Linked DNA regions of Arabidopsis thaliana. The protein of the gene in region 1 interacts with the protein of each later gene in a pairwise test. Each region holds a gene or a part of one and is shown on either strand. Other genes may lie near its edges.

What was found. Proteins that work in one complex are often made in the same cells at the same time.
Region 2: the proteins of AT2G05160 (region 1) and AT2G33710 interact in a two-hybrid assay, tested with the Arabidopsis thaliana proteins (one large-scale study listed by BioGRID).
Region 3: the proteins of AT2G05160 (region 1) and WOX13 interact in a two-hybrid assay, tested with the Arabidopsis thaliana proteins (one large-scale study listed by BioGRID).

The regions. Positions count from the first base shown.
Region 1 is NC_003071.7:1,856,115-1,866,052, reverse strand, and holds AT2G05160 (CCCH-type zinc fingerfamily protein with RNA-binding domain-containing protein), read left to right. Parts: upstream 1-3,988; 5' UTR 3,989-4,331; exon of another isoform or gene 4,332-4,435; 5' UTR 4,436-4,587; intron 4,588-5,090; 5' UTR 5,091-5,121; coding exon 5,122-5,969; intron 5,970-6,046; coding exon 6,047-6,471; intron 6,472-6,546; coding exon 6,547-6,684; coding exon of another isoform or gene 6,685-6,740; exon of another isoform or gene 6,741-6,763; coding exon 6,764-6,866; intron 6,867-6,945; coding exon 6,946-7,042; 3' UTR 7,043-7,510; downstream 7,511-9,938. UniProt on the Arabidopsis thaliana protein: Possesses ribonuclease activity in vitro.
Region 2 is NC_003071.7:14,256,258-14,264,190, forward strand, and holds AT2G33710 (Integrase-type DNA-binding superfamily protein), read right to left. Parts: upstream 4,483-7,933; 5' UTR 4,396-4,482; coding exon 4,215-4,395; intron 3,490-4,214; coding exon 3,050-3,489; coding exon of another isoform or gene 3,014-3,049; exon of another isoform or gene 2,783-3,013; coding exon 2,708-2,782; 3' UTR 2,552-2,707; downstream 1-2,551. Other genes in the region: AT2G33705 (F-box family protein), read left to right, coding at 1-103; AT2G33720 (AP2/B3-like transcriptional factor family protein), read left to right, coding at 7,519-7,830.
Region 3 is NC_003075.7:16,872,970-16,881,165, forward strand, and holds WOX13 (WUSCHEL related homeobox 13), read right to left. Parts: upstream 4,483-8,196; 5' UTR 4,199-4,482; coding exon 3,976-4,198; intron 3,552-3,975; coding exon 3,054-3,551; intron 2,931-3,053; coding exon 2,845-2,930; 3' UTR 2,554-2,844; downstream 1-2,553. Other genes in the region: AT4G35530 (phosphatidylinositolglycan-like protein), read right to left, coding at 120-311; AT4G35540 (POLLEN-EXPRESSED TRANSCRIPTION FACTOR 2), read left to right, coding at 970-2,553.

The sequences.
Region 1 (9,938 bases):
TATTCTTCATTTTTATTTATTTCAAACAATGTCATATTTTTTTAGTACCAATTCTGAAAGCTAAAATCGTTAAACCGATTTAGTTCATTAATTTTACTAAAATTGAAACATCAAAAAACTCATAAGAATCTAGACGGACATTTTATCGCTATATAAACCGTTTTTTTTTATCTACATATACATTTTTCAGCCATTTTGTAAAATAAATCCTTTAGTTAGGACTTATTTACAAGGAATGTCATTGACATTAATTATTATCAATTAATTAATATTCCTAATTATTAGTATTTTTTTATCTAATATATCTCCATCAATTCTAATTACTTTTAAAAAGGAGAAATCTTAGAACTTTATTAATATTATACTTTATTAAAAATAAATATTGTAGTTATTTAAAGTTTAAAAAATGTTTAGAATATTTAACGAAAAAACGTTTAGAATATATATAATATATGAAATCTATAAAATTAAATAACCATTTCAAAAGAAAACTTTTAAATAGATTTGAATTATAAATCTTTTTATAAAAATATTACTAGACCAAAAATTAAAATATAATGTTTACTTTTACCGAACTTGATTAGATGGTGGGATGGGTTTAGAATATTACAGTTCAGTGAATTTATAACAATTAAATAACATACTTAAAAGAAAAATTTTAAATAAATTTGAATTATATATCTTTTAAATTAAAATATTATTAAAACAAAAATAACAAAAAAAAAGATGTTTAATTTCACTTAACGGCGTTAGATTGTAGGACGGGTTTGAGTCAGTAATACGAGACTGTATACCACATGTGAACTTCATTAGATATGTTTAGTTTGACTGAACGGGATTAGGTGGTAAGACGAGTTTGGGTCTATTGTAATACGAGAAGTTATACCTGGTGGGCAGCTATGTGACAACTACAAGTTTTTTTTTTCCTCATGTAACATGCTATGGTCTACAAGATCTCGTGCACTGGAACCCATGGTTATAGACTCGAATCCATTAGTAAGGGTAGATATAACAATCAAAATACAATTATCTATACTATTAATTAGGAAGCATTTTGTGAACTACAACATTGTAAGGGTAGTTTAAAACTAAGTAAATAAATTTTTGCATGGGTAATTTAGTAAATTAACAACTACTAAAATATAGGAATATCTTTAAACATGCAAATATATTGTATGTTTAATTCAAAAATGCATATATGTTAACTAAATTATTTTCGTAAGATATTATTAGATATTTTCGAATATGGCAATCTAATAACAAATTATCATTTTGTTTAGATTTAATAATTTCCTTAACAAAACTATGCTGATTAAATCTCATTTGTGTACATGACAAAAAAGACTTTTTCAATTATAATTTTTCAGATATGAATTTTTTTTATTATATTTGTCGTATATAATCTAAACGAAATACTTATATCATTTAAAATACAGCTTATTCAAAAGCTTATTTTTTGGATTCTAAATATCTAGAAAATATTTCCAAGGTATATTAAAATATTTTAACATTTCATTAGAGTTTCAATGATTTAAAGTTTTAGAATATATTTTTTGTTTTTTAAACGGGTAGTTTCATTATTTTAAATATATATAACTAACCCAAATTTTTAATATATTTTTAAAAAGAATTATAATAATTCTATATCTCAAGATTATTTTATTTAGAGCCAGATAAATTATTCAATTTCAAATCAAATAATTTATTTTATTTTGTATCATATTGTTACAAGATTTTGGAATACACATTCTTCTAAAATTGATTATTTTCTTTTTGAAATAACATTAAAATAAATTTAAATACCAATGTTTTAATTTTAATGCAAATTTAAGAAACTATTGAATTTAGATCAAGATGACTAATTTAACTAATTACAAGCTATTTTTTAATTTACACAGTTTTTGCAATTAGTTCAAAATAATTCTCTAAATTTACTCACATTAAACTATCTCTTAGTTTTATGATTTTGTTAAGATTCGTTTCTTGAAGTTAAGCAAGTTTATCAAATAAATTCAAATATATATTTGATTAATTATATATTATATCAACCAGAGGATTTCTGGATTTGAGATAATATATCAAGTCGGTGTTTATTATTTATATTAAATAGTAAATATAATTTTGTTTTCATATATGTGCGCGTACACATGAACAAATGTATGAGTATGACATATTATAGTTGATAGATCATTTATTTTTTCAATTTGTTTTCATGTTTTAATTTATGGTATGTTTACAAATTTTAACAAAGCATATGTTAATCCCCAAAAGTTACAGCTGTATTTGGTATTGTGTTTAACGATAAGCAAAAATAACTCGGAATATGATATTTAATGTAATATAACGAGAATAGAAATTGCGAAAAAGGAACGACATGGAATAAGCAAATTTTAGATTACAACAAGTTACAATTTAAGCAAATTTTAGTTTGCAATCAAATATGTAACATGTGTTTTCAATTTATACAGCATAAAAATGTTCAAAATAATAAATGTTATTATAGTATGCTCTATAATAGTTAAAATTTAGAAACAAACAAATGTAATTTAATATTTATGAACAAAATATAAAACAATAAGAAGAAAGAAGTCAATTAATTTTGTAATATTTTTATTATATCATATCATATAAAAATATACTATGAATTACATTTGTGTTTGTCCCAAACGAATTTTTGCTTCCGTCACGTTCTGTTTCTAATCGGAATACAAAATTTGTCTTATACTAGAAATACATTCTCTTATGAGATATAAATTGGAGAACATGTAAGATATAATGGAACATGATAAAATTGAATGAGAATTACGCCTATATCTAAATATTTATATTTCTCGCAAACGTATTTAATCATTTTAATGGTTTTATATACGGTTTGATAGTTTACAAGTTTAATAAAAATCTACCTGACCATTAACTTGATTCAGTTTGTTCTCGGTTCGACCGTTTGATTGTTAAGAATTTTAAAATACTATTAAAATCATTATTATTTCAAATATTTCAACCAACTAATATAGTTTAGGTTATATATATATATACTATAACTATATAAATAATTTGTTAAGATCAATCTAACTTATATTATATTTCAATCTAAGATTTTTTTTCTAATTTACTCTTCAGTTTCAAACTCCAAAAATAGACTTATGGTTATAATTATGTCATAAGCAAACATAAATAATATTTTATATTTTTATGTGTACATTATAATTATTCAATACAGTATATACTACTAAAACAACAAAATAATCATATATTTAATAAAAAATTATTACAACACATTTTAAAAAATATGACATAGTAATTGTGCGGGTCAGAATCTAACAAATAATATTAATAAAATAAATATAATTTAAATTTAAATTATTTAGTTATAACGTAGATTTTAAATTAATGAACTGTACGTTATTGTTCCTATATTTTTTAACAGTAAAAATCAAACATAGTAATTGTATATTAAATAATATACAGATATAAAAGTTGTACATTCAGAAAATACAAAATATTACATTATATATATTTTTAATCGACTAAACAATTAAATTTTGATTCTTAAAAAACAAAATAGTCCCGCGGTGTAACGCGGATTAAAATGCATAAAACTATATGAGATTATTGATATCTCAGTTGTTTATATTTGGATTCAGGTATCAGCCGGATTTTACTAGATACTACTTATCTAAGATCACTTCATTGGTCCGTGTAGACCGGGTTCATCCCTAACCGTAACCTCTTCCTCCAAAACCGTAACCAATTAACCAGACCATGCGACCTTACGTTTCTATTAAACGGTCACAGTTGTATGCATTATCCTTATCCAAACACAACAACATGGACGCCACGTGGATTCTCAACGTTTGAAATCTGAACCGTCCATTAACTCAAAAAAGGAATAACAAAAGTCAAAACCACCAAAAGTCATCTCGATCCCACGGCTAAAAATTATTAATACACGTATCGTGATTAGCCATTAATTAACTAAAGTCTCCAGGTTTTTTTCGAACTAAATTCCCGATATTCGCTGTAACAATATTGAATAGAACGAGTTGTCAAACCAAAATTAAAAATTTATTTATGCAATATTCTTCGCAACAAGAAAACTATTTGTTATTAATTAATATTTTAACCTAGTTTTTCTTCTCCACCATCCAAGATTCTTTGAGATCTTATCTGTTTTACAGTTACTAAAACTCTGCAAATATATATTAAAAATTTGCACGATCTCTTTAAAGTTTTTTCTTAATTGTTTTCTCACTCTGCCCTCTTCTTCTTCTCTTTCGTTTGTGGCTCTCACGCTCTTATGTTTTAGTTTATTCAACAATGAATCTATCAATGTGAGTTGTTTTGTTTTCTTTTTTTTCAGCTCTCTATTGGCTCAATGATTGATCTCAATGCATTCTTCTTTATGGTTTTTGTATTCTTTCTTTTTTCTGTTCAGAAAAGTTTGAAGAATTCTCTTGCATGTTTTTACGATTGTCGTCAACAACACTGAGAGATAATTTGAGTCTATAATCTGGTATTTTGGATTAACAGAGATTATGACTAATCCTTCTCGGAAAATCATTTGCTGACGGATAATTTTTCACCAAGGTAAAATTTTCGTAGATCCTCTCTCTAATCATTGGTGAATGTTTTGTTTCCATGTGAAAAAAAAAAAAACATTTCTTCTTCAAGACAAATGTAGTTTATCATGTTCGGTTTTTTCAATACAGTTATGTACAAAGATCATTAACTTTGTTTGCATTTGTCTGCATTGTATAAGAGATTAGAAGATTAATGTTTTTTTTTTTTTTTTTTTTTTTTGTGTGTGGGGTCAAACTGTTGTTTTTGATTGTGTATAATTTTGATTTAGATCTTGCTCATTGTTCTTCTTAGCCATAACATTGCAGATTTTGTTTTCTTTGTTTTGACTTACAATGCAATTTTTATTTTTTTGGGTAAAGTATGGAACATGTGGGTTCATGAGTGAGTATCACTCTTCTACCTCTTTTTGGTATCAACTTGTAGTTTATGTAACTTTTGATTCATATCGTTTTGACTAAATCTTTTGGAACTAATAATAATGAAAGTTTGTGAATGATTTTGCTTTGCAGAGAAGTTTTTAAGATAAGAAGTTTTTTAGAGATGAATTTCACAGAATCAATGAACGTTGTGCACGCCAGAATCCAACAACTTGAACCAGAGAATGCAGCAAAGATCTTTGGTTATCTCTTGTTGATGCAAGAAAATGGCAACCGCGACATGATCCGTCTCGCGTTCTGTCCTGATTCTGTTATGTGTTCTGTCATCAATTGCGTTAAATACGAGTTAGCTAGGAATTCTCATCATTACCACAGCCCTCCTTCTGATCACATTCCTACTCCCAAATTTGGATCATTCACCGGTTCATCGCCTCTTTCGGTTTCGGTTTCTCCTCCCATGAAAACCGGTTTTTGGGAGAATTCAACCGAGATGGATACCTTGCAGAACAATCTTCAGTTCTTGAATTTTGAGGATCCTTTGACCAGCCCTGAATTCTCTAACGGGTTCTTCTCTCAAGAACGTCAATGTTTGCCTTTGCGAACTAGCCGAAGATCCCCGAGTTTACCCGAGTTCCCGGTAAAAATCTGCCATTACTTCAACAAAGGGTTCTGCAAACACGGCAACAACTGTAGGTACTTCCACGGGCAGATTATACCGGAGAGGGAGAGTTTTGCTCAGATGTTTAATCCAAACAACAACCTAAGTGACGAAGAGCATGTTGTTTCCCCTGTATCTCTTGAGAAGCTAGAAGGTGAGATCATTGAGTTACTCAAGTTAAGAAGAGGAGCTCCAATCTCCATAGCTTCATTGCCAATGATGTACTACGAAAAATACGGTAGGACTCTTCAAGCTGAAGGATATCTCACTGAGTCACAAAGACATGGCAAAGCTGGCTATAGTCTCACCAAGCTTCTTGCTCGCTTGAAGAACACGATTCGCCTCGTCGACAGGTTTGTTAATTAGTTATAATAGTACTCTTTCTATTTCAATCTAAAGTATTGTTTTCTTATAGTGTTTGAATTTGTAGGCCTCATGGGCAACATTCAGTTATATTAGCAGAGGATGCATCAAAGTTTGTGGAATACACTGGAGAGAGAAATGAACATGGAGCAATCCTTGCTGGTTCTAGACAGATTTACTTAACGTTTCCGGCAGAGAGTAGTTTCACTGAACATGATGTCTCAATCTACTTCACCTCATATGGACATGTGGAAGATGTGAGGATTCCTTGCCAGCAGAAAAGAATGTATGGATTTGTAACATTTGCTTCCTCAGAAACAGTTAAACACATTCTTGCTAAAGGCAATCCTCATTTCATTTGCAATGCACGTGTTCTAGTCAAGCCTTACCGGGAAAAATCACGCTCTAGTCGATACCTCGACAATTACAAGCCTCTACACGGCATGCGATATGGCTCTAAATTTATTGAGAGAGACATAGAGATGAACACATGTAAGTAATTAACAAAATCAATTTATGTGTGTGTTAATCTTTTGTATAATGGTTTTTCTTTTGTGTTGTTTTTAGTGCCACCGCGGGTTAGTGAGAGCTCAAGAATGAGGAAGCCATTTCTTAGTGAGCCTGAACAATCAGTTTCTAAGTCCTTACCTACTAATTACTCCTACCTCGGCTTCTCCTCGGATGACTTCAAGTTAACATCAAATGGTAATTACACTTTCAACTTAAACCTGGTAATCATAGGTTTAGAAATTTACTATTAGTTGCTTGATTTTTTTACTTGTAGCGGAGCAAGAGGAACAAGCAGAACGGTTGAGCTACCTACTGGACTATTTGAACACGGAAGATAATGTCATGAACATAACCACTAACTACAGAGACAATGATCGGTATGTTTAGATCTTTAACAAACACATTTTGTGATTTTTGTAATCTTGATTTAATCATATATATGATGTTTTTATTCAGGAGAACTCATTGTGAATCGTTGGACAGTCAAGTCCTGAATCTACCCGAGAGTCCGTTTTCTTCCCTTTCGGGGAAGGAGATTTCAACGGTTACATAGAGAGAAAGACTGATACCTAACCAAAGGGAGAGAAAAACATAGGAGCATAAAGGTTAGAGGGAATCCCCAAAGATCTAATCAATCGGCAAAAAAGAGATTTGTTTTTTCATTATCTTCTTTCGGTTTTAGACTGATCGATGGCATGGAGACTTTTAGGTTCTTTAGCAATAACACCACAAAGAAAAGGAAATAAAAAGTGACAGAGAAACACACAAAGAAGAGCTGTTAGCTTCAGGTTTACAAAAAGAGCCGAGCAGTTTGAGAAACATTAAGTAAAGGGGTATAATAATAATTATAATAACATTTGGAATGTTTTATGAAGGTTAATTTTCTATTTGTTCTTTTTCTTTTCAACTTTTTTTATGCTACTTCATCATATTTCATTGTATCATATCCTTTTTAGTTTTAAGAAAAAAAGGTTTTCTTGTATATATATAAAATAATAATAATAATAATTGAAATTTAAACATTTATAAAGTGGTTTCCGCAAAATTTAGAAATATTGCCATCAAGGCATCAATGAATGAAGGCGCTCTTGTATAACTTTTTATTATTACTTGGGCGAAACCCGCACCAAGCAGTAGACTTTTTTTTTAATGTAATTTTGTTAAGTTGTATGTAAGTATTGAATGTTCTTTTTCATGATTCATGATATATATATATAGAAAAAGAGATTCATTAGAAAGTGATTGAGAACACAATGCATTTGTTGATTTTTGTTTTAGTAAGATCTATATAGCCTTTATAAGTTTTGGAAGCTAATTTTTTGCTTTATGAACATCTATTGAGTCGTTAAAAATAAAAGTGAAAAGAGTTAAAAGGTGCTAATTCTGGAGAAGTTAAAGTCATTTTAGATTCTTTAGAATATGTTATATGGAGTTATTATCTTTGATTTTGTTCTTCCACATGCATACTTGATTCATATGTTGAAGAGACATAAAAAGCTAAAAACTATGTTTGTTTGTTTTTCAGAATTTGAAAATTAAAATTTTTGTTTTTTTTCATAGGAGTATACAACGTACTCAAATGATTATTCGTTATTGATTAAGATCCACAATAACGCTTAGTAAATCTGATAAGATCCTTGAATATTTTGAGGAAGAAACTCAAAAATCTTTAATGTCTCTTCTTTAAGATTCTTCTTCCATTGACCTTCTTCCTCGATGTTTCCTTCGGCTAAGACTTCATTCAGTTTGGAAATAAGCTTTTGAACCAAAAAAAAGATAATAGATGCACATTGAAGAACAAAAAAAATAGGGACGAAAATCGAATTGATCATTGGAGATTTGAGAGTAACCGTACCTCAGAGATAAATTTCATTAGGCCTTAAAGAACAAAAATGACATCTTAGTTGTAATAATTTTTTCCTTGTTTACACAATACATCAACAATGTCATCTGTAATATTTTTCAGTGTAAGCTTCTTCTCCAAAACTTCCAAATATGTTGATGATTTTTATCGTGAAAACGCTAGGTTTTTCTCTATCAAAATCATAGCATCAAACCAAACTGAAAAATGATAAGATACTGTATTGTAATAATATTATTTATCCGGAAGATCCAAAAATTGAAAATATTTTTTTTAGTTTGTCATATTCTTTTTTTTTTTGTTTGTAATTTGCATATTACTTGATAATTTGTCTTTATGAACCAAATGCATATTTGAAAATAAAATTTAATTAGTTTGAATAATTAGGAATAATTGTATTTTATTATTCGTTATATTTAAATTTCACATTTTATCATAATAATATAATATTTTTGGCATTTTAATACTTTGTATTACTATATATTATATTTTTTTGTTATTTTTAATTTAACCGTAATAACACCTGCTGGTTAACCAGTCATAAAACTCTTGCAAACGCTCCAATTTTTAACCATTAAACTAGTAGTTCAAAATGTAACATAACATTTGAAACTACAACCGTCCGCTTCCGCAGACTCCCGCATTCATAACTGCAAACGTTGTATTTAAATCAGCCTGACCCTTAATAATTTATTTTGGTTGGACATAGGCCAATAGATTTTTCCTCGAGATTACATTTTCTAATTTTAATTATGTGGTTAGATTTTGTAATTATAATTATAGTCTCTCTTTGCCAATATCCCTTATATATTAATTGAGAAACATTTTCTTAAAACAACTTTATACTTTCGGGTGATTAACGAAAACGCCATGCTTATATGTCGTTCTCACATAACTTCTCAATCTATTTGATTAAACATCCAAATTTTGTTAGGATATTTACAAATTTTACCATTAGTTTTACTTATGTTTTTTTCTCCAATTAATTTATGCTTTTGAATTTACTCAATTATATTTAAAAAAAATACGATTAATATATGCAATTTAAAGATACAAATCTATATAAAAGGAAGTACTTAACGTTTTGTGTATCTATTAATATAACAATATATATATATATATATAATTCAATATGAACTCTAATGAGTTGAAATTTTTAATTCAAATGAGTGATGGTTCAAATAAGTTATTGGGTCAAATGATTAGATAGATCAAATGAGTTGGGTTGCAATGAGAACCCACCTATTGTGGTTAAAATGAATTAAACCAACTTAAATCTCTAAACCGATATCATTTTGAGTTTAACCAAAATCTCTAAAAAAGATTGAATATAATCAATCTTTTTTCAAATGACTTCATCAACCCATCAATTTATTCATTATCAACACAATATTATCATCATCATTACCCTCTCATAATATCATATTATCATCACCATCATCATCATACTATCTTCATCATCATCATATCAACATACTATAGTCATGATAGCTATCATTATGATGATAACATTATGATATATTGTGCAAATGAAGTAGATGGAGGAGGAGTTTCTTGATCTTGTTGTTGGACACGTCGTTTTTGTAAA
Region 2 (7,933 bases), about 12 Mb from region 1:
TATAGCGAGATTTCGTTGCGTATCAAAGCTATGGGATTCCACATTCCGCAGTCGATATTTCACTGAACTGCTCTTTATCATATCGTCTTCCATGCAAATTTAGACGTCCAAGGATCTGAAGCTTATGGCAAGTATTTAGGATTAGCACAGTCGTTATCTTATTTGATTACTATATTTTTTTTTCTTGGTACGTATGGTATTCATCTTTTCTTATTGGTTCATGCAATATCTTGTGAACCATGGTGTTATAAGTTTTAAGGTTACTCTTCTTTTCATCATGAGCGATAAGCGACTTTGGAAATTGTGTCTTTGGTGAGCTCTATGTTATTCATTTATCCATTGGTGAAAACCACATTACAATTGGGCTAAAGAATGTAGTTTTCGAGATTGTAGATGAACTAAATAGACCATTGCCAACACGGTATAACTTATTTAAAGCAAAAATCTGCATGTATACAAAAGGAAGATATACAGTACAAACATAAAGATACAGATATATAAAGTTTCCATAGCAACCTTAATTAGATTGTTACTATACAATACAATGTTCATCTTTTCTTGGGTAGTAAACAATACTACTTATTTTCATCCTCTAGTGTAAAGACTTTTGTAATGCGCTGCTTTACAATTATTCTTTGTAGCTTTTGTTTGATTCTGAATAGAAAGAATTGTTATTATAAAAGAAAAGTAAACAAATTTAAATTATACTTTTTATTCAAGTTTTGCAAATTCTCTTGTTATATTACAACATGTTTGTTTTCTTACTTAACGCCGCAAACACAATGATCAGAATCAAAACGGTTTATAGTGTTTTTTCCCTGCTGTGCACACATAAGTTTACAAGCAGAGAAAGACTGCTTTAATGTACAAACGCAACCGCCATATAGACAGGCAACAGGAATTGCACATGGTACTTTGTTTTTGCAATCTGAGTCTTTGTGACATCTTTTGCTTTCTGTCATCGTCATACCTTCAAATAGATTATCCAAAAGAAAACAATACTAGATAATAATTTTTAAAAAGTTGTAAGTGTTCAATTTGGATAAACCAAATGTATTTGAACCGCCTAGTTAAGCATAACAAACTGATATGAAAAACCGTACAATTTTTTTGTTAACATTAGTTTTATATATCCTAAAAACCAAAAATCGATTTATAATCCAATAAAAAAATATGGCTGCTTTGCCAATTCAATTGATTCTGATCTGAAACTAAAACCGCAATTTTTGTTTGTGTTGATTACTTGATTACTGTTTTTAAGAAATCTTTAAGCTCACAATAAAGAAACTAACAAATTGAAAATTCCTAGATAAATTAATTCATTTGAAAAAAATGAATCTAAAATTTTCATATTTTACACCACAGCAAATAGCACTTGATATTGAATCAACATTAAATAGTATTCGTTCTTTTACTTTTAAAAATCCATTAAAAATCAGGGTATCACCTATATGTTATAGTCATTAGAACATAAATATAAATTATATATGTGTGTGTTTCATTGTTATACATATTAACACACTGATATATGAGTAAATGAATTATAATATATTTGTATGAGTGAAGAACTCACAGAAGGGTGATACAAGGAACAAGATTAAAAGAAGCCTGTTTTCTTTGAGTTCATCTCTATATTTTTTCTTTCTTTTTTCTTTTTGTATTTTGTTTGTTGTGATTTGTGAGTTATGATGGTAATTTGTGTTCTAAATTGGGTTTAATATATTAGGATAGTTTTTATCCTCTTTTATGAGGTCAATACATACAAATGATTTTGGTATTAAAATGTTTAGATTTCATACCTATATTATTTATTATGATTAATTGAGAAACACTATATAAAACAATAGCAATTTATGATATCATATACTATTATTGTTTAATGAATCTATACGTAAATTATTATGTTTTGATGATACATAGCATTTAACATAAATAGTGTAGATTTGATAGTGTCCACATGTAATCATCTAAGAGGCATATTAGTTCTGATTTTAATTTTGTGATCGCGATTCTTTGTGGATTTGTCCATCAAATTACGTGATTTTTTTTTTTTTTTGCAAAAAACAGGTTAAATGGTTCTGATTACTCAATAAAACACACAAGATGTGAATTTGATTTTTAAAAACATAAAACATATTTTCACAGATAATAATTTTCATGAATAATTTTTCATAATGTTGAACCTTTTTCTCCATTCAGTTATTTAACTGGTGAAAGATACACTTATATGAAATAATCGCAAATTTGAATAGAACAAAAAAACTTTTACTACATGTTTTGTTTTATACACTAGCAGTCGATATGTGTATCCTATATAATAATTTATTTATAATAATTTTACTTGAATCGTTTTTTAATCGTTTCATATGCAGACTGTTACCTAGTTTAGTTTCATTTTTATTTACCAACCATTTCATCATTCAACGCGTTGAAAAATATATGAGCATTGGATAATAAGACAGATATAAATGTAAGTACATATTTAAAAAAATTTAGCTTATGTTTTGGAAACTCGAACACCCTCATCATGTGTATACCCTCTATATTTGTTTTTGAACTTTTTTTTTTATCTCTTTCGTACGTGATACAAAAGGATAAACTAGCAAGCTACTTCGGAGTGGAAAGACATAAAGCACCATGTACGAGCTTTTTTCTACCTGATATACTCGACCCAACCTGATCCGACCGGTCCGGTCAACACATTATCTCATTTGATCGGTCGATCAGGTGAGGCATGTTGTTGTCTCCGTCGGTCATCTTCTGTGGATATAGTCGTCATGACCTATCAGGACGTTTTCCAAGCTAAGTAGTCTTCATCCCATTCTTGCATAGTCATGTTCAAAATTTATATATTTTTCATCCATAAGGCCTGATTCCTAGCTAAATCCACTCCATAGACTCTTTAAAGACTACCAAAATGAAGTCGTAAAGAGATTAAGCGCCTAAAATGATCAAAGCCGGAGGTCAATGCGTTTGATAACTTGGACGAAGAGATATTTATGCCATTAACATGTTATTTTCGTCGTTTGTGGATACTAATGTTCTTCACGTTTTCACCATCCTCCAAATTTGGTCTTAGCCCTTGATGATTCAAAGATGAAGACGAAGAAGACAGCATATTCATGGACAAGTTGGCACTGGAATCACTACTTCGAGATTGAAAGTGGCCATATTGATCAAGAAGTATGTCAGGAGCAATTGGTGGAGGTGGACTAGGTGGTGTCACGATAATGCGATCATGGGAAGTAGCGGGCGATGGATAGAGTTGAGTAGGGTTGACACGAATATGCTCGGGGAAGTTAAGCTTGGCCTTGTGACCTCTAAACTCAAATGCAGCTTTATCATACGCTAAGGCGGCTTCTTCTGCAGTGTCGAACGTCCCAAGCCACACACGAGCTGCCTTGTTCGGGTCACGAATCTCAGCCGCCCATTTTCCCCACGGTCTTTGCCTCACGCCTCTGTAGTTTCGTTGCCTCGAGTTACTTTTTTCTGTAGAAAAATGATGAAAATTGTAAGTTCACTCTTGTCATGAAAATGGTGACTTAAATGTGACGTGCATGTCTATGAATATAACGTATACTATCGGTGTAGAGGCATTTCGTAAAGATTATTAAAGGGCGTTTGAATCATATGATATGATCATTCTACATCAACTTTTATTCCCCTCTTCTACATCTACTTATGAAATCTATATATTAGGCCAAACCTACATTTATACATTCCTCTCTCTCGTAATTGGTAATTAACTATATATATACTTATGTATCACACCAATGATATAATTAGGATATAAATTAAGTTTGATCATTTTAAATACGTTTTCCCCATGTTACAATCCTAAAACTCTCTCTGGCTAGTTATCTCAACCAAAATACGACCATTGCAACCAAGCCTTGCCAATCATATTTGTCCGAAAGCCAAATATGATCAATTTTGTCCAACCAATAAAGCCGACAGGTTTTTTCAAGAAAATCTAACCATGAACATTCATTAAAAAAATCATATAGTAAATTGAACTAATGCATTGTGGCCATACATGAAATTATATCTCTATTTGATCAAGGCCATGCTGCAGCCACTAAAGGATTACCAATTGCAAAATCCAAGATTAAATCATTCCTATGTGTAAAGAGAATCACCAATGGAAAAGACAATCACTCGAGTTATAAAGTATAGCAATTAAAATTATTGGAAAAAGGATCTGATGAAATTACCTTGAAGAGTAAGCGACGAAGATTGATCATCAATGGATGATGGGATGGGTTGACCAGTGAGTTCAGAGACAAAATCAGACACATCAGATTCCGACAAAGTTGAGCAACAACACAACTCTTTTTTCTCTTCTCTATTTCCGGCCATTGATTCTGGTGATAGAGGTCTCTTCCCGCTATGCATTATCCGATGATGTCAATTATGATTATTTTTATTTTATTTTTGAAGTCAAAGATGGGTTTGGGTACAAGCCAAAGAACCAGCAAAGATGTCTATTCTCTGCATCTATGTTATATATAGACGCACACGCATGTATTTGTTGACCAATATTATAGAGAGTTTGTCTAACCTAGAGGATATTTTGGTCATAAACATTACACACACTTTTTTGTTCCTTAAAAACAATTCTTTGTATTCATCTCTTTAATTTTCCTTAACAAACGTTACATTACGGACTGCATCGACCGACCCACTATGTAGTTGTATTAATGGTTTGTGTTAACCCAAAATCGATTGCGTGTCTCAAAAGACGAAAAAAAAAACGACTGTCTTATACAAAATTCATTAATTATGATCCAAGTCTTGTGTTAATTACGGTCAACATTTTAAGTTAAAATTAATTATTTATTATATATGTGGTGGATTTAAATAATTATTTTCATCCTGAACATTAAAGGGTTAATAATTTACCTAAATGACTCACCAAAAAATTAATTTACCTAAATGACCATGATGAATATCTAATTATTTAGGTAAATGAGCAAATGACAAACATATAATCAAAGAAACACTTTAATATATATAAACATGTAAACACCAATTATTTAGGTAAATAATGTATTTTCTATCATTTGACTTTAATGTCTTTATATATATATATATATATATATATATAGATACATATGTGTTTTGCACAATCATTTTATTTTAATAAACAACGTACTGTATAAATCACATAAATAAAATAGCATAATATTTTTGCTAATTAAAAGTCGCTTATGTCATCCAATACAGTTGAGTGTGTTTTTAAATTGTTTTATGTAATATATAAAAGTTCATGGTTAATTAGGATGAATATTCAAAATTAAAGGACAAACTCTGTTTCTATTCGCTACATATATAGTTTTACGGAATACACTCTGCACAAGTCATCATAAAACAACTGGAATGGAATATGCGATGAATCTCTTTAATAATAATATGTGGGATCTGACTGTGGATTCTAATCTAATATTTCTATTATAAGCAATTTGGACGATTCGTGCCATTTTAAAAATGGTTGAGGGATTTTTTTATGGGGTTGAATATTGTCATTGCGCCTTATCAGAAACACAAAAACAAAAAAAATATTGTCATTACATGCATGATGTTGATGAATTATTTTTCAATCATATAAACTTGTGGTTGAAGAAAAAGCACAATATTTAACAAACAAAAACATAACCTGAAACAATATAAACTTACTTTCTAAATTAATAAAACATTTGACCGAATGGGGAATCTAAAAGTGTGTCATATAAGATATTGATTTAAAGACCTAGATGACGTATGGGCTTACATAATATGTGGTCAACATTGAATATTATAGTCAGAGCAAACTTCGCACGAACAAATCAACTCCAATCTCACACCAATAGCATAAGACCATGCCGTAGTCTATATGATTGCCACAAAAGAATTATTCTTATTGGCCAACTTTGACCTAGTGTTATATTTGTATTTATATCTTTTAATTAAGTATTTATTGAATTATGTATATACATTGATTGTTGCATTCATCTTTTTTACTTAGTATGCCATCTATTCAATTAGATGAACACATTGTAATACTATAATAAATTACGTATGTTTAGTTACGATAGTGCTTTAATTTTGATCTAAACCACATGATCTAGTCAGAACGCTTTGATCGATATTTGTTTGTGTTTATTTTTTTTGTTGTTGCTAAATTGTAAATATCAGTAAGGAATGAAAGTTGGGGCGTACAAGAAGTTAGACCTATAAATATAATTGCTACTTTGCCAAAAAGGTATAAAAACAAGGGAACATATACAAGAGAATTTTATGAGATTCAATAAAAGAGCTTTAGTGGAGCCACACGGTTGCATCAGTCTTGAGAAGCTGCGCAAATGTCGTCTTGCTGAGATTGAGTTACGGAGTAACTTGTATATTGTTTTGGAGTAACTTGTGCTTGGGTTCAATTGGTTTACTAGTACTTTATGTAGCAAGTTATAGAACAGTTCATATCTGTATATACAGTTTGTGAGGGTGGCATTTCCACAGTCTCTATTGGTATTGTATGTTTATGAGACAATTCATGTTACGTATATGAATTGTTACAAAACTTTATGTTGTGACCAGCTACAAAATTAGTTACCAAGTCAATATCCATGGCCACGACAACACAATAGCGGCCACTATACTAGTGAACAAATCATCGGTAGCTATACTTCTTGGAAATGGTAATGAATACTACAAAAATAACCCCACAATATTCTTAAGTTTTTTGTGTGGCTACACGCCTACACTAGCTTAGTCATGGATAAAGTCGTTTACATATGTGATATGTCCGCCTAACCAATGAGGATTCTGATTTCTGAATCGGGCAGATTTGTCCGGAACACGATCTATGCTCATGTAGGTCCTCATCACTCTTGCAATGATCTTTACCACAATTAATTCACAAATTCAACTTAAAATCTTATAAGTTGAAAAAGCTCCGATCCTCCCTCTTTGTTCACATTAAAACAAAACAGAACTTATTGAACACATATCTGCATGACTGCATTTTAAAAAGAAAACTAGCTGTATTGGGCTATGTTGTGGGCTTCGCTAGCCCATGTAGGTTGAATATCTCTTGTCATAGTAATGACCATCTATATTGAAATAAAATTCTTATGATAACACAAACCATATTAAATCTGAACATTGATTCACGCAAATAGAGATAGTTGGCACCAAAAGTCTAAGACGCACACTCATCTTCATAGGAAACCCAAACCCTAAGAAATGGAAAATTAACAGCTTCATAGTTCAAACGCAGAATAAAAATAACTACAAAGGTAATATTCAGTTTTCACATAAATCATTTTCCTTTTTTCTATAACAAATGGATTTCCTTTTTTAAACAGGAAAATACCTGAAAAAGTTAAGGCAAAGGTGGCTACTAAATTATTTATATATCTACGTTCCCTTAGCTCTCTGAACTTGAGTCTAAGATAAAGAAACTCTCGACGACATCTTGAGAATCGAACGAGAATGATCCAAAATCTGCAAAAATTACCCCAAGACCTCCAATCCTCGGCAATGAAGATGCCTCCTCCCTTTTCTGCGTCGAAGACTCAATACTTGTTCCACGACGAGTCATCGGAAAACTCTAAAAAGAGTTTGGTCTCCACAACTCTTTCTTTGTCGTCTTGTGAAAACCCTAATAAGAGGAAGATGAACTCTGACGAAGTTCTCAATATTTCTTGCATACCAAGAGACTACAAATTAACACAAGTAGAAAGAAAGATTGCACGAATGAGGAATCTCTCGTATCAAGAAAAGGCAGAGGACGAATGGTACGGTGTCTCAACAGAACTAACACTCTTCAAGGATCCGTGGATCATCAAAAAGGTACTAACCACTAGCGATCTTGGCCAGATATACAGGAGAATCCCTAATATTTGAATCAATATAGATGTTCTGGACATATTCTTAAATTATTTCATATCGATCT
Region 3 (8,196 bases), on another chromosome or scaffold:
CATGATATGTACTAGCAACACTTGTTCTAAGCAATGCATCAGAATCACTCAAATGTCAAGCAGATTCACATCAAAATAACAAACGGCAACAACCAAATTTTCTCTAAGAGCATAATTACCTTTCCAAGCAAAAAGTACATAGAACTCGCCAGAAACACAAGGAAGAAACCAAGCCCCCAACGACGGGCATAACCAGTTCCGCTGCTTCCGTTGATAATCACATGGTGAATATCAATGGCTTCTCTAGTTGACTTACTTCCACTTTCGTGTATGTAAGTGTATCTCTTATTCGAAACAGACAAGCTCACCATTTCAAAGCTAGTTTAGTTGAAAAACAGTCAAATGTATCACCGTCGTTTTACTCCCAACTCATATACGAACCTGCCCAAGGTTAGCTTTCTCAATACCCAAGTAACAATTTTCAAACTTTGAGTCTCAGTCAAATCGGATAGCAACAAAACTTCTCTGCGGCTTTCCGTCGAACACCATGCGTGCGTTATAATAACCCCTCTTGAAATCTCATAAATCTCTCTAACTATCTCCACACAACTTCCTCGAAAACACAGTAGCAATCTATCAAAAAGGACGAAGCAAGGATTCACCCAACGAACGAAAGCCACAATTCTTCGAATTGATCAAATCTGAAACCGGCTTCTCTTACCGGTAAAGAGATAAAAGACGGCACTATGGTGGAGGAGACAACAAAAAGCCAAAAGAGAGAAAATAATACAAACTGTGTGGCGTCCTAAATAAAACACCCTGGCGTTTTTGTTTTATTCATATTAACATCATGCCGTTTTCATCTCGACAATATAAAAACCTAGCTTATTTTTAAGGAAAGGTCAAATCTTAATTAGTTTTGATTTCTCTCTCCAGTACTTCTCGATTCGCCGGCGATCCGAATCTCATTCTTCTGCTTGTCGGAAAAAAAAACCCGTAATTTAAAGTGTGAAGCTTTCGGTTTGAATCATGCGTTGCAAGAGATGCAATGGAAGCAACTTTGAACGCGACGAAGACACGGGGAATTCGTATTGCGGTGGATGTGGGACATTACGAGAGTATGATAATTATGAGGCACAACTTGGCGGCATAAGAGGACCTCAAGGTACATATATACGAGTAGGCACCATTGGTAGAGGCTCTGTTCTTGATTATAAAGACAAGAAGATCTATGAAGCCAACAATTTAATTGAGGAGACAACAGAAAGATTGAATCTTGGTAATAAAACTGAAGTGATTAAGAGTATGATTAGTAAGCTTACTGATGGGGAATTTGGACAAGGTGAGTGGTTCCCTATTTTGATTGGAGCTTGTTGTTATGCTGTGGTAAGAGAAGAAGGGAAAGGTGTTTTGTCTATGGAAGAGGTTGCTTATGAAGTTGGATGTGATTTGCATCAGTTAGGGCCTATGATTAAGCGTGTTGTGGATCATCTAGATTTGGAATTGCGAGAGTTTGATCTTGTGGGTTTGTTTACCAAGACGGTTACTAATTCACCGAGATTGACTGATGTTGATAGGGATAAGAAGGAGAAGATAATAAAGCAAGGGACTTTCCTGATGAATTGTGCGTTGAAATGGTTTTTGTCGACGGGGAGGAGACCAATGCCTTTGGTTGTGGCTGTTTTGGCGTTTGTTGTTCAAGTGAATGGTGTGAAGGTAAAGATTGATGATTTGGCGAAAGATGCTAGTGTTTCGTTGACTACTTGTAAAACGCGGTATAAAGAGTTATCTGAGAAGCTTGTGAAGGTTGCTGAAGAGGTGGGTTTGCCTTGGGCGAAAGATGTTACTGTGAAGAATGTTTTGAAACATTCAGGAACTTTGTTTGCTTTAATGGAAGCCAAGTCCATGAAAAAGAGAAAACAAGGGACTGGGAAAGAATTAGTTAGAACTGATGGATTTTGTGTGGAGGATTTAGTGATGGACTGCCTAAGCAAAGAATCTATGTATTGTTATGATGATGATGCTCGTCAAGATACTATGTCTCGGTATTTTGATGTAGAAGGTGAACGTCAGCTTAGTTTATGTAACTATGATGATAATATATCGGAGAATCAGTTGTCTACAAAGTATAATGAATTTGAGGATCGAGTTTGTGGTGGGACTCTTGCGAAAAGAAGTCAGGGAAGTAGTCAGAGTATGTGGCAAAGGAGATCTGTTTTTGGAATGGTGTCAACTGAAAATTGGTGGAAAGGGAAATCGGAATTGAGTAAAAGGCTTTTGCTCAAAGACTTGTTGGAGAAAGATGTAGGGCTTGAAGCTTTGCCTCCTTCTTACATAAAGGGTTGCGTTGCAGTTGAAAGACGAAGAGAAAAGATTAAGGCAGCTAAGTTGCGGATTAATGCAATACAACATCCTTCTGACAATGTTAGTGAAGGTGCGTTGTCTTTGGAGCTTGAACATAGCAAGAAGAAAAGGAAGAAAGGATCTGAAATTGATTGGGAGGATTTGGTTATACAGACTCTGGTCTTACACAATGTGAATGAGGAAGAAATAGAGAAAGGCCATTACAAAACTTTGTTAGACTTGCATGTTTTCAACTCTGGAGAGGTTTGAATTGAAATGTTTTTCTCTTGGAATTTTTTTATTTCTTACAGTATAATTCATTTAAGGATGTAAAAATCGTTCTGAATGCAGAAATTATCAAAGCAAGCATCACAAGACGATTCAACAATCCATGTAAATGTTTCTCTGAAAATGATTAATAAGATAAACTACTTGTTTCTTTAATAAGCCCTGAAAGAAACAATTTAAGAAAAACAAAAGTCTAATACTGCTTATGACTGACTACCAAATCCATTTCATTGATCTCTCTGATAATTAGAAGTTTCCTCAGCTTGTATTCAATCAGCCTGACATGCCATAATCTTCAACATGATCATAAAGGTTGTAACTTTCCGCCAGTCCCATCTTTCCAACAAGATGCTCATCCCCTACAAACACAAATCACAAGAAATTATCTGAGACAGACACAACTTACTTGACTATTTCTTCAAAGCCAATGTCTCTGTTTTTTTCAGTTACGTGTGAACTAAAAAGGTATCTTTGTTACTTACTTGGGTTTGATAGAACATCTAGCAAGTGAAGGTCTGAGCTAATCTCAGGGCTCTGAAAGCAAAGATCTTCAGGCCTAGGAGCAGTAGTTGTTGCTGTTGTTGTCCCTAACCCATTATTGTTGCTATTTCCATCTGGAAGACCAAGAAGACTCTCTGGCCTCACTACTCTCTTCTCATTCAATGCTTCAACTTCAGTCTCTACCTCAGACTCACCATTATTATTTCCAGAAGAACCTCCACCATGCTGCTTCCTCTTGGATCGAGCACGTCGGTTCTGGAACCAGTTATAGACATTTTGTTCAGCAATCTGGCCGTGTTGGCTCAGCTCTTCTGTTATGTCTTTGATCTTCTGCTTGCTCGGTGTTCCCGTGCCTTGATCGAATATACGTTCCAGAATCTGAAGCTGGACTGGCGTAGGAGTCCACCTCTGTCTAGCTGTCATCTTATGACCTAAAGATGACATCATTGGGTCTGCATATAGTCCTCCCATTCTCCCTCCTGTTACCAACAACAGACAAATGAGCAGAGTTGTTAAAAGTTAAACTAAATAAAAAAACTGAAACTTTATATCTCAAGAACACATCATCAAGCTAAAAACACCTATTTTGGTGGGAAATTCTCGAAGCTCAATTGAAAGATTCAAAGGAGTGATTCTAGAATTCCTCAAGAACCATTATTTTCCTTATTCTTAGCTCAAAAATCCACGAAAAGGATTGGTCTTTGAATCAGATTTAAGCCAACAAATGCTTAAAAGGCAGAGAATTTTCAATTACCCATACACCAAAGTGAAGAAGAATCACTAAAAAATCAATTAAACCACACAAAAATTCTGAATTTTTTTAAAAATTTCAAAAGGAGTCCTTTTTTTATCTTTAGATGAACAGAGAAGAAGAAACTAAATGATAGAAGAAAGGATAGAAACCTGCAAGATCTTGTTGAGCAGTGAGAGTTTTATGCATCTCAACAAGACGCTCACAAATGGTGCCGTAAATAGCAATCTGTTTCCTGAGAGTTTCATACTGCTCATCGGTCATCACCTTCACGTACATTCCTCCTCCGGCGCCGGAGCCGCCATTAACGTCGATCCCTTGAAGATTAGAAGAGTGATGGTTATTGGGTTGTAGCTGATTATCCCATTCCATCATCTCTTTTGTCAGAATTTCGCTCAGAAGATTTCTCTCTTTCTCTGTGTGAACGAAGGAAACAGAGCAAAGTCAGTGCTTTTTCGGGAGTAGAAGGAAAGGTAAAGGCAGAAAAGGACAAAAAAAACTTAATTTATGTTATTCTTTTGTTCTATATTGAAATTATAATATATAGTTTCATTACAAAGGAAAAGACAAATAAGAAGACGGTAATGATTCTTTGACAATCGTTAAAGGAAACTATTTAACCAACGGTTATTTTAGTTCCTAATTTGGAAATTGACCGTTTGAGATTTCACATACGGTTAAACGGCTACTTCCATATCTGAATATTTACATTACCATAATCTAAATGTTATTTGATTTATAGTTGGAGAGAGCCGTTGCTATTTTATTTTATGGAAATAACATGTCTGGATGCAATCGACTTGATACAAATATTAACAGCTAGTTTGATCGTATCAATGAAGTAGATTGTTAGTTTTTTTTTATAGTCGTTGGTTGGTACTTTTCAAGAAACTGAATTACTTTTTTCTTTTCAATATCCATTCTTCAAGTTATGTATTTTGTTTACACCGAAAAGTTTTTTCCTTATGCTTTTTTAGTCCAATTTGTGTTATATTTTTGGGTCAACAGTCAAAATGGTGGTATACAACTTTTTAAAAATGCGATAAAGAGCACTTGTGGCAAAATAAATAAACACTTTTAATTGCCTCTTTTCCTGACCGATTAACTGACATTCCGTTGATTGATAAATTTTGGTTGCGATCTAACTTTTCTGACACATTCTAGGTTATATTTTTCTCAATTATTCTATAGAAGAGTATTAGCTTCACCGTCTTTTGCAATCCCTATCATCTAATTCAATAAGAAACCTTTAAGAAAAACCAAAAAGAAAAAAAAAATTGTTGGGCCAGTCAGGACTTATAAGTTAAGGAGCGGCGACCCAAAAAGAAAATAAATAGTTTCCACGTGTCGTTTAAACAGTAGAATTTGTAGGTGGTCGGTGTCCGCCGCCCATGTTCCACGGGCGCACTTAGATTTTAATATGATCTAATCTGACTCATTAATTGCCAATAAAATTGATCTCTGTCGAATAACCAGGCCAAACAATGAAATGTGACCATGGTCGACAAAAACATGAAGATAAAGAAAAATATAATATGTGGTCATGACTCATGCCGTATCGTAGTCGGGGGCGTAGTAGTGTTTTGTCGGAACGTGTAAATAATTAGCTCTTCTACTTAATTCTGTGACTTTTTTTTTTACACTAATACACAAATTATTACTTTAATTTTTCAGCCAAAACTTGAAATTTATACTTGCTTCACAATTCTATTCAAGTCATTGTCTTCGTAACCTATACGTAAAAATTATCGGAACTTTTGTTTATTTAATTAGTATCGTCGTTTTTTCTTTAAATGATATAACGCCTCATCGTTTTTTCCGGAAAGTGTTTTCGTTTCGGTAATTTTTTTAATTGTCAACATTATGGAAGAAAATAATGAGGTTTGCATGTGCGACCCTAAGTCAAGTATCGAGACCAAGCAGAAGCAGTCTATCTAAATACCAAAAAGTCCATATTCACACAAATATAGATACATTTTATTTATTGTCATTAGATGATAGGAAAATTAGATTAATACTCACAAAATTTAAATATTCTAATACTTGAATTATATATATATATATATATATATATATATTACAGAAAAGAATAATTTACATTAGATGATTTTTTGATTAATTAAGTTGAGATTTTTTACTAACAAAGCTCATTAATTTAAAAAATTTACCAGTATAATAATCATTTATTTTTAAAATTATACATTAGATGATTATTTTCTAGTTTATGTCTAGGAGTAGAACATTCAACCACCGGGACAATATAGAGACACAAACGGAAATATCCAGAACAAGACATTATTTACGTAAGCATTATCAATCGACCAAATGATAAGGAATTTAAATATAGATGAAAATAGTTGCATACAAATTTGTCCATATATATATACATAATCTTAATTACATGACTGACTTAGTGATGAGCCATATTATAACCCATTGGATTCTCTTTGGCCCAGCTTTCTTTGGATTCTTCTTTTAGATTGGAGAGTTTGGTGTACCTATAGCTTCTCTTGTCTTCTATCCTTATTTTATGCTTTCTTCTCTGTTTCCTATCATTGAAATCTATATTCTTAATCCCGGTTTACAAATCTACTTACTGTTGTTTTTTACCCTGTTGACCACTGCTAATTATTATTATACGCTGAATCTTTCCCTACCAAAGAAAATAAATATATACGGTGAATCTTACTTAAAAACGTATATATATAGTAGGATTGTGAAAAGAAAAAGAAAAAAGCTTCAGTATGAACAAAACTTGAACTCAAAGTGAAGACAACTTACTTATTGCACCAGTACTTAAAAAATGATTTATCCAGGCCTATATTTATTATCTCCTAACAGCCCATCTCAGCCCACCAGGTTGACGGTAGGATCAATTGTTGTATAATGGATTAGTGTTTTTTTTGTTTGTGTGTCATTGTGTGCTGCTGTTTACTCACCATCTAGACGTTACAAATGTGTTGATTTTGATCAAATATCGAACTTCGCACTAATAACCGAATCTCTGTTAAAGTTTTCACGTTTTTTGGTGTCTCGGTTTTTCTAATGTCATTACAGAAACCGTTTCACTAGTATTACTTATCTTGATCTTGTTGTATATATTATCCTTCTTGATGGTGAACGAGAACAACGTTTCACTTTAAAAGGAGAATAAGATATTTCAGTTTTCGTTAGGATGGCTGTAGCTTGTAGAGTTGTAGTTATCAATTCAAAGTGGATAAATAAAGTTGAGAAATCCAATAATATATAAAACAAAAGCTATTCAAGGAAAAAAAAAAAAACCCACAAAGTTAAAGAGACCGTATCAGAGGAATGATATATTCAGGATGGGTCTAACTTTGGTTGTTGCTTTCACATACAACCCATTCTATTACGCTAAGAATCGCAATAGAAAATGGCAATTGCAAAATATATATTTTTAGCTTTTATCAAAAAGACAACAAATACTAATGTTTATGAGTTTTTCTTGTATTTTCATTTATTTATAGATCAAAATAGTCGGTGGTCAGAGCACTCAAAGAAAAAGGCAGCGTCATCTCACACCGTCCATCTACATATCGGACGTCTCTCGTGAGACCACGTTAAAAAGGGCAGATCAGATCACCAACTTCATCTTAGAGGGACCCCTATAACAGATTAGCACTTGCCACGTGTACTCTATTGACTTGTTTTCCACAACCTGATTCACATAAAAGAGAAAAGAGTAGAATATCTATCAATTTAGCTGATCTTCTTACCAAAAACAAAAAAATATGATTAATCTGATCATTATAAACACACAAAAACATTGAATCTTTGTTAGATGCGAAAATAATTTTTTTTTAATTAATTAGATTAAAGTTTCTATGTAAATTTTTAATTAATCTGGCCTATTGAGCTTTCACTCTACTCAAAAAGAGACCTGCAAAAGCTCCAAGTCATGTGTTGGTTGGATGAGTTAATAAGGACCATTGTCCTACATATGTACTCTTATCGCATGGATTAAGATTTATGTGGTAGTAAATTATTTTATTTTTGATCAATAGAATATCCGCGACGCTAGAGTTTTATCAGAATTCAAAAATACTTTTAATTAGTGGATATTTAGATTTCATTTGCAGGTTAATTACAAATTTCCGACTAGAATACAACAATTTTAATTCGTTTTAAAATGTTTATTATAGTTTAGATATTATTTTGTCACGAATACTATATATATGCCACCTATGTGTTAAAATTTTCATAAATTACCAAGAAAAAGTATGATTTTGTCCTTTTGAAATGAAAATCAATCAAAAAATTTATATACACATTTGAATATCTAATGAATTTTAGTTGAAATTTTGGAAAGACACAATTCAGTAATAAAATGTGTATTTCTTTGATTTTTTTTG